2 linked regions of the Saccharomyces cerevisiae S288C genome follow. The gene in region 1 interacts genetically with each later gene. Each region holds a gene or a part of one and is shown on either strand. Other genes may lie near its edges. The genes, in order: YBR096W and RSF2.

Region 1 (3,054 bases):
AACCTCATTGATGAATTATTTGATGACACTGTCAAATACTGTGTTACCCCCATCTTTAACGAGAATAGAAATAAGACAGATGATGAAACAGACCCGAACTTCGTAAAAGTCATTGATTACACTTCAAACGGTTGGTGAAACAAAAAAAAAAAAAGAACCCATCCTAAAATACTGTTATTATTACTAAATAGTGCTAAATAATACATATGCCTTGATTTTATTTCCGAAATTTTTTGTTTTGTCAATTTAGGCTCTATTAGCTTCTTCATCAGGTTCATTATCGTCTACAACACCGTCTTCCATGGTATTTTCAATTTCTTCCTCAAAATTTGTTGTCTTATTTGTTGTAGCACTGATCAGACCTCTCTTCACAACACGTAGAGCCACCGGGATAGTAATATCATCGTCAGATATACCCAAATATTCCCGACTCCAATTTAAAATCCTACCTCTTATTCTATTGGCTTTTATTACAGACTTTCTGATTTTTTGTAAGTTTCTTATGAATTCTTTATTCCTCTGTAGTGCAATCTGCGACAGCTGTCGGGCAGACTCAATTTCCTCATTTAACTGTTGTTGTTCGGCCGCTGTTAATGTTGATATAGAAGCAGAACCGGAAGAAGATGGCAGCAACGATAACAGCGCATTAGATTGTTCCAACCTTGGCAATGCAAAAAAAGGATCTTCCTCTCCAAATTCTTCCATGCCATTATTGATATGACCAGCTTCAGTAGACAAACTATTCGAGTTAACCTCGTTGATATTGTTTTTGTTGTTAATGTCATCCTCGTCGCTTGCCCCTCTATCCTCTGGAAGGGTCAAATTGTGATTATAAGATGGTAGGTTCAAGTTAGATTCATAAATTGGTTCAGGATGATCTCCTAAAAAAACCTCCAAAAACTGGGAATATCTAACAACTGACATCTGTTCTTTTTCAATCATTAGAATTATTTGCAAGGCTAAATTTTTCAAAATTGGGCTTGAAAATGTCCTTGAGATAGTTTTATGATTTATTATATCCCCTAGGGAAAGAATGGGAGTCAAAATCTCCTTTACATTCACTAGTTTTGATAGGTCGTCATCGTCTTCTTCGCCGTAATACTCATCAGTGATATTTTCGTCTTCCTTCTCACTACCATCGATGTCGTTTTCATCACCGACTAAAACAGGCTCGACGTTGATGTCAGGTGTGAATTTTATTCTTTTGCGTCTACTATCAGTGACAATATTTGTTTGCAGAAGGCGATGCTCCGAACCGTTATAGAACACAGTTTGCTCAATCATTGGCTTAGAATTGTTCAAGTCTCTTCTTGTTACTACTTCGCTTCTCTGCAAAAGTTTGTTACCTCTGTTAGAGGATATGCCAGTGGCCTCAGGATAGATTAGTTTTCCATCAAGGGATCTTTTCAGTACCTGATAGTTACCGCTTTTTTCCTTTATTATCCTTCTAGTAAATGTGCTAATTATATTCGATTCATTAGCTAACACACTCTTGCTTTCCAATTCTGCGTTGTTTTTCATACTGCTCCTAATAGTCATCTCGATCAACAAGAAGCAACAGCTGAGATATTTGTTTCTCAACCTCTTTTTTGCAGGAGATGCTGTCATCAAGCAACGTTTCTTCTATTTGAAAGCGATTGTTTTACCAGAACAAAGTTCGCTACCCGGCTTCGGTCCTCTTGGGTATAGGAGACAATAATGATCTTCGAATAACGCCGTTATAAAGTGAACATTATAATTATCCGCTTAAAGGCTTTTTAGTAATTTTGTAAAACAATTGCTTCTAATTTCAAGACTTCCAAAAGGTTTCTCGAGTAACTAGTGCTTTCCAATATCTACAACAAAATAAAATAATAGAATAATGGGTGTTTGCACTATTTTTAGGTGGCTCTTTGCTGCTTACTTGCTCTCTTCATATAAGTCGCTTCCTGGGGCATATTTTGTTAGGTTTTATTATTATGTTATTCAAAACTTGTTCTTGCCTATGTTTACAGGGTTTGAAACCGAGAATATTAAGAAACTTGAGAAAAATGAATATGGCTGTTTCTCGTACACCAGCCTAGATACCTATGCCTCTCCATTCGAATGTGACTTCTACTTTCATAAGAGCAATAGCACCTATTTTGCGGAATTGGACATTTCAAGAGGTAATCTCATGTGCAAGATTTTTCAAAAATTGATGCTGAATTCCAAGCATTATCCATATATTCCAGTTGCGAACGTTTTCACTAATTTCTTGAAGGAAATCAAGCCTTTTCAAAAGTACTCGGTTTCATCAAGGATTATCTGTTGGGATGAGAAATGGATTTACGTCATGAGTAGATTCACAATTAAAAAGGGCACCGTCTTATGCTCATTATCATTGACCAAATACGTCCTTAAGGACGGTAGAAAGACCATCAAACCAAAGGATGCTCTTGAATACTGTGGTTTATATAATGAGAAGGTCGCCAAAATTTCTGAGGACAATCTAAAGCTTTTAACCGAGCGTTGTGGTTTCCACGAGACAGTACCATTGGAAAACTTGAGCCAAGAGTACTGTTCAGAAATCTAACTTCTATACACATATAGCCGGTATTATAAAATATATAAATCTATCTTCTTTCAAAAGTTTCTCTGTGCAGTCTGCGTTATATTTTATCTTCGGTAGAAAACAAGGTAAATTTCCCTTATTTTTCAACATCATAAAAATGAAAAACAGATATATCTTAAGTAAGATACTTAAGCAGACAAGTTGAATTGGAGAAATACAAAAGCTGTAAGGTTATCAAAAAGGAAGGCATACAGTATAATGGGGGCACAATTATCACTAGTGGTCCAAGCATCACCTTCCATAGCCATTTTTTCATATATCGATGTCTTAGAGGAAGTACACTACGTTTCACAGTTAAACTCATCAAGATTCTTAAAAACATGCAAGGCACTGGACCCTAACGGCGAAATTGTTATCAAAGTGTTTATTAAACCAAAAGACCAATATAGCTTACGACCTTTTCTCCAACGTATAAGGGCTCAATCGTTTAAGTTGGGACAACTACCGCACGTTTTAAACTA
Region 2 (7,068 bases), on another chromosome or scaffold:
TCGTACGATGTGGATTTTATCTTCAATATCAATGTTTTTCTTCAAAAGTAGCTTGTAATCACTGATGCTACCATAATTGCAAAACACGTATCGAGCAGTTACACTTCCATTTTTTGAATATTGATGGAAACCCTTTTGCCTTTTCCTAGCGTGAGAAGCAGGATCACCTTTAACTCTATCCTCGATCATGCTTGCTTCGTAGACCACTTTACCATTTTCTAAAGGAGCTACGTTAGTGTCTACTGGTTCACCTATCCATGGGTAATATTTTTCAACTTTGGGTTTGTACCCCATATCTAGAAACTCGTCCAAGGTATATTTAAACGTTGACGAATCACTTGCTCCGTTGCTCATGTACCCAGCATACTTGTATACATGTTCTTTCGCTCTATTTTCCTGTTGCAAGGAGTTCAAGTATATCCTATAAACCTCTGCATTCGTCAATCTGGAAGAGTGAAACCGCCGAAAGTCTCTTGATAAAGACGTCCTGGGAGCAAATGCGGCAACAAATCCCATGTACAAAAGGAGACTCGCTAGAATCAAGTACATAAACTTTTCCTTGTCCATATGTTCTTTCATTATTTCATAACCACTAACAATACTAGATATTGTATTACTTCTGCCTCTATTCCTGGATGTTAAAGTGAAAGAATCATTCATGCTTTCTTCATTGTCATCGCGAGTGGTCTCGCCACTATATTGTTGTAATCCAGTGGCTTCGGCCTCATTGTCATCAGGGTCTGCCATATTAACAACAGTTCTCTCCTTTAATTGACCTTCCTCTTTCTCTCTCTTTCTCTCTCTCTGTATCATTCTCATATATCTCTTACATTCTTAATTGTGCATGTTGAAATTGTTTTAATAAGTACGGCCCCTTGCCTTGTCAAACCTTTTTACCCGGGCCATCAAACTCAAGCAAACTCCGAATGGAACAATGCCTTTTTGAAGCCTGGTGGTATATTATGAAAGTTATGATAGTTCTAAGCTTTAATTCTGTAAATACTATAGTATAGAGACGGCCGCCATTATATATTTGTAAATCGGACTTATATTCTAGTGTTTCTTTTTTTCGTAACACTATAGATAGCTCTTGATTGCAAACCATGAGCGAACGATAATATTATAGGCCAAATTGGCGCATCACCCAATATTTGAACACCCAAATATAAACATTTGGAGGATAGACTTGCCGCTACAATTAGTTGAATTGTCTCATTTATATCGGTATTCGGGTCCATGGCCCTTTGTGCTTGTTCTTCATTTAGTGCTGACAAATCTAGGGCATCCTTGTCCTGCCATCTTAAGAAATCAGTGTACGATTTCAACACATCACACTCCTTCGGTATCAAGTTCATTTGTAATCTTCTCAAAATCCTTTCTGCTTTTAGCCATAAGACACGGTCCGAAAAATCCAATAATGCTGAGTTAGGGTTGTTGGCATTGTACCCGCGTGCCCAATCCTCTACACATTTCATGTATTCCGAAATCACTAATACTGCAGTGAACATACATGTGGTCGCAAATACAGGAGTATTGAAAATTCTGCGCTTGCCCTGTTTAATGTACGTAAAAAATGAAGTCCACGCATCCACCATATTCAGTGCATACTCGGTAGCTTCCCTCAATGAACCCATGTCATAGCAAACTTCCTCCAAAGCTTTATTCATATTGGACCAATCTTTCAACCAGATTTTCTCAATAACATGTGCCAGGTCCAAACACCGTCTCATTTTGGCAAACAAATATACCGGAATTATTAACCTCATTGCTGGATTGGCGTTTATTGTTGACATGCTATTCTCGGTAGGTGTCAAGATGCCACCATTTTTCAAATAAAGGTTTTCCCAGTATTTTAACATTGTATCGATCCGTTGTCTGGAAGTCATCTTCCACTCAATATCGTCCAACTCAATGTTATTGCTATTGGTGTTGTTATTACTGATCCTTGCGTTATTTCTTTCAATAAGTATTTTCTCATGGATAGATATCAACAATGATAGACATGTACTTAACGAAACCCTAGCATTTCCGTAAAAAAAACTATCGCCTGTAGAAAGAAACCTCAAACAATTTTCATATGCCTCGTTACCATTAGACAATTCAATCAACGAAAATTTCGAATCTAACGTTATTTTGTATTGACATAATAGGTCCGACCATTCATCGGAATTTCGGCACTGATATAATTCTTCTTTATAGCATGGAACACCACATTTTAAATCGACTGAATGAAAACAGCAATCAGCACCTACCAGTGAAGAAAATAAGTTAGATATAAGTAATACCGCATGGCAAGTCCTGATACGTGACTGCGCCAATACAAAATATTGGTAGTTTTTGTTCATTTGATTCGGCGCGTTGTATTGCTCTCTTATTTTTGAAAACATATGAGGACTGTTTTCATATTCCATAATATGATCACTCTCAATAGGCGGCTGGCATAGGGACTCTAGGGGCAAATTTAAACGAGAGGCCTTCAAGAGACGAATAATAGTCGTCAACTGACCATGCATCCCCTTGATCACGGCTGTATTTTTATTGAAAATACAGTAGAACGTTAGCAATACTAATGTCTGTATAACCCATAACTCTGTCGTCTCCGGGTTTTTCTCACTAACTTTCAAGCTTTTCCTAATTTGGGTGCTAGCTGCATTAGCTAACACTTTTGCATGCGTCGAATGAAACCCATACAATGCTCCGACCATGGAGATAGATAATAACAAGGGATAACTGTCCATATTAGGTATGATAGAAGGAAGATGAATAAATGAAAAAAATGGATGGAATTCTTCCTTATAGTAAGTCACATAATCGTTCAATTGACTAGTTGTGGGGAAGGCTCCTGAATCGATATTATTGTCGGCTAGCATCATACTCCTTAGCTCATTGGTAAAAAGCACTTGAGATACTGAAGGGACAGAAAACGGAGATAACAAATCCGAAGGAGTAAGAACAGGCAGCTGTTTCTGTGTTGCATTAGAATCAGTTTCGCCGGGGAAAGACAAAGTGAGAACATCGTCGTTCACATGAGAATTATTTTGCTCTGTCCCGTTTAATACCTTGGAAATATCCAATTGCCTTGAGCTGAAAAAATTGGATAGATCGTAGTCCATCATGACGCTATCACGACGCCTCTTATGAGAACTATGGGAAATAGGGTCAGAATAGGAAGGCTCCTTTAGTTGGTTTTGTGGTGTACTTGGTAAATCTGTGCTTCCATTCAAACTCAAGTTTAAGCGAGGTGATAAAGAAGCTTTTTCATGATTTAATGAGGTAGCAGAATGGTTTGGAGGTGACTTGTTTGGTATAGATGACCTTGATGAAGGTGGAGAATAAATAAACCCAATGTCATTGAAATGATTGAAGTTGATCTTGAAGGTAGATTTTGGATCAGAGTTGTTAATAAACTCTGATAACCACTTGTCATCTATGGCAGCAGGATCGATATTACTATCCTTATCATTGGGCTCCATTGATGGTTCCAGTAAATTATTTGTGCCTGGATTGAAATTGATCGTGGAAGAGGAATCTGAAACAGTTGTTGGTGGGTTTTTAGGAGATAGTGACATAAGCGGCTGCTCATTGCTCATTTGCCTATAAGTTTGATTTGCCAAATTACTGTAACTATTAGAAGCCGTAGTAGAATTAGACGGTATAGTATTCGGGAAGCTTGACGGAAGGTTAAATTCAGAAACTGTCGGTTTATCATGACTGAAGCAGCCCAAATCAAATGGCGAATGGTGGCTAGACATGTATCCTCCCGCACCTGCATGTGCAGAGTTCATTGTCAAAAGATCGGTTAAAGATGGACCGCTACTTAAGAGATACACTCCAGGTGTAGCAACTGTACTTCCATTGTTGCTGTTCACTATGGTACTAGAGGTGGAATTTTGCTGTTGTTGTTGTTGTTGTTGTTGCTGTCCGGAGGGGTCATTGTTAAATAGATTTAAGTTAAACTTGATAGCTTGCGGTGGTTCGTCCAGGGTTAACGGAGGTAAATCCAATTCTGACACGCTTTCCATGAGCTGCTTCGCGGTCATTTGTGGAGTAGAAAAGCCGACTTGATGCGGAGCGTCTTCAACGAGCTCGAAATTGGTAATTGAATGGTGGGGGCTATTGCTACTAGACATGTAAGTCATTGCACTGGATGCAGAGAAAGACGCATGTCTTTTCGTCTTATGCATGGAAGAGGGAGTGTTCGCCCTGTCGATAACAGCATCGCTTGATGCAGAGTGAACTGGCACGCCTTTCGTGCTGAACTTGAACTCTCGAAATCCTAGGGAGCCTGCCTTACTAGGAGGAGTTTTCTCTCGCTTATCGTTCATTACTGGGGCCGAGACGGGAAGTTCTACATTATTTGATTTGGCCAAGGCAACCACGGCCTCTTTCAATTCTTCAGATGTCTTACCAGCAAGGTTCTTCGGGGTGGGTAGAATAGTCTCTTTATTTCCGGCTATTTTAATGATATGAAGGTCGGTTGGATCATCCGCCGCCACGGAATGGCGCCGCTTGGAGGCAAAAGAAGAAGTCGAATTTGGTGCTGGCGTCATTCGCCGTGGATCCCCCGTACCTACAAGAGCAGCATGAAGTTTTTGCTGATGCCTGAGCACTAAATCTCTACGAGCAAAACACCTACCGCAAAAGATACAAAGATACGGTTTCTCACGGGTATGCGAATGCTGATGTCTCTTCAAATGCTCCTGCCTGACAAAACCCCTAGTGCATGTGGGACACAAGAACGGTCTTGGCTTATCAGTCTTAATAATTCGAGATTTTTTAGGAATGGGCAGAATACCTTGACCAGCGGGCTTAGCGAAATTAGATTGATTACCGTTCACAAACATACTTGGCTCCGGCACTAATAAAAAATCTTTATCTGCCCTATCTATTCTAGTATCGCCAATGTCTTTTAGCTTCTTCGCCCTAAAGTTTCTTTTTGGTGCAAGAGTCTTCGAGAAAAACGTGTGTTGAGAGAGGCAATGTTTAACGAAGAAAAAAAACTCTATGGAAATCCAAGAAGTCCTTGTTTCTTTGTTTTCGTTTCTAATATATGCAGGGTCAAGCGGGAAAAAGAAAGACAGACGGAAAAGTGCCCAGCAACACGGAACAAAATTGTCCAGATTTATTCGAGCGGCCGCGGTTAGTATGCATAATGCAGGCGCCCCTCGTCCAAATGCGAACGGTTCCATCCGAAACAGGCCATTTCCCAAAAATTATTTCTCTTAATAGAAGTTGCTCGCGTAGTTACCTATTGTCGATGCCGCATACGCAGTTACCTTATCCGTTGCCCTACGGAGAATTTCCGCGATGCAGCACCGTGCGGCGAGATCACAATTTTCCTTGTACACTCTACTCTGCCCCTGGAGTGGTTCACCCCCGTCTGTGCGTATTTTCGTGTATGATGATATAAGGTCGTTACTACCGTTGATTCAAAAACAGTTGCTTCTTCCATATATTGTAGCACGAACAACTATGGCCGGCCGCAAATTGCGACAATTACACCTAACGCAGCATTAAGGTCGCAGGAAATGTTATCTGCCGAGCTGTTTATCTCTGTTTTCCAAGATTTTTTCAACCAGCCCATGAGTCTGCTGTTGGCGGCAACCCAGTTACAGATAATGGTGCATGTGATAAGCTTCGTACCACTATTCGTAGTTTGTTACATCTTGTAAGCCAGTATATATATTTGTTAGATTGTGCCCTAACGTTCCAGTAATTGAAGGGTAACCGAGGTTTCCGTGGAAAAAAACCGTGTATAAGCAAGAGGTTCCGAGCGAAAAAAAAAAGTATAAAAGAAAGCACAGGCAATGAGATTTGTTTTTCGCTTTTCCTTCTTATTTGTTAATTCTATTTTTGAAGTTTCCTTCCGAAAAAAAGTAACTTTGTCCTAAAGTACTAATCCACCGCATTAGACAGTACGAAGATCGAGCTATTTATTTGAACACTCGGTCTTATTCGTGATAAGCGTAATGTGGAGAGATCAATTTCCGGGTCATTTATAAGAACTCGAGTGGATTGCTAGTTGTTTTGATTAGCTGAATGAGACTCGAGTGTCAGAAGATGACTATATTTTTTTTCTTTTTTTTTTTAGTTATGTTTTATTTTTGAACTTGTACTTGCACATGTATCTTATTGTTTCGTGATCTTGTAGATCCGTATGGGTGCAATCAAAGGTTTGAATTGCAGGGCTTTCATCGCGCGGATCTCGTTGTTTGCGTCGTACTCTGTGCTGGTGACTATGGTACATTTTAGCCCGAGTTTATTGCACTCTTGAGAAAACAGTTGGACAGTGGATTCGCTTCTAATTGTCGCGGATAGGAGACACAGTTTGCATCGGTCTAAAGCAAGACATTCGGCCAGACACTCGCATAGATCAGGAAGGATAGTTGGGTCATACGTAACATCTGCCCCCACTACTAAATCTATATCCTCAGGAACTCTATCGCTGCCCCACCATAATCTTTGCAACTTGATGTCTGGTTCGTTCTCACGCACTTCATTGTTCAATTCAAAATTTCTTTTCAGCTGCGTCTCAACGAGATTCGAATCACCATCCGTGACGTACATCTTATTTACGAACTCGTGATACTTTTGTAAAATGACGAGACTCACTATGCCTGTGCCAGCGCCGACCTCAAGAACATTTAATTTTTTCTTGCCATCGTCTTGTCCTTGTACCGGTGCCAACTCTTGTAAGGGCTTATGAATAAGGAAATCACCCATGTATAAGGCAGCTTCCCATGTCCTGAAACCTGTAGTACTGGCCGCACTGATCAAATTCGGTGTTTCCTCAATTTTGATCTTTACGTCCTCGTCAAACCTGTACCTCACGACGTCTTTCATCATCGGGTCTGGCTTGCCTGTGCTTAATAGTTTTATGTACTTCTCATAGAGATAATCATATATCTCTATCTCGTCTTCGCCATCGTTGACAATTGTGAATGCCTTCGCGAAAATCCATTCGTGGTCTAAGAGCATCTTGACTATGGTTTTGCAATAATATGCATTCGTCTTTTGCACAAGTTCCATCTCACAAACAAATCTCGATGCATGCAGGACATCGTTAGA

What was found.
Region 2: mutations in YBR096W (region 1) and RSF2 together harm fitness less than expected from each alone (positive genetic interaction), as found in Saccharomyces cerevisiae (one large-scale study listed by BioGRID).

The regions. Positions count from the first base shown.
Region 1 is NC_001134.8:434,160-437,213, forward strand, and holds YBR096W (uncharacterized protein), read left to right. Parts: upstream 1-1,861; coding exon 1,862-2,554; downstream 2,555-3,054. Other genes in the region: PBY1 (putative tubulin tyrosine ligase), read left to right, coding at 1-138; RXT2 (Rxt2p), read right to left, coding at 247-1,539; ubiquitin-binding serine/threonine protein kinase VPS15, read left to right, coding at 2,792-3,054.
Region 2 is NC_001142.9:657,871-664,938, forward strand, and holds RSF2 (Rsf2p), read right to left. Parts: upstream 5,190-7,068; coding exon 1,047-5,189; downstream 1-1,046. Other genes in the region: VPS70 (putative zinc metalloprotease), read right to left, coding at 1-819; YJR128W (uncharacterized protein), read left to right, coding at 5,051-5,410; EFM3 (protein-lysine N-methyltransferase), read right to left, coding at 6,130-7,068. UniProt on the Saccharomyces cerevisiae protein: Transcription factor that regulates expression of both nuclear and mitochondrial genes, and more specifically those required for glycerol-based growth and respiration.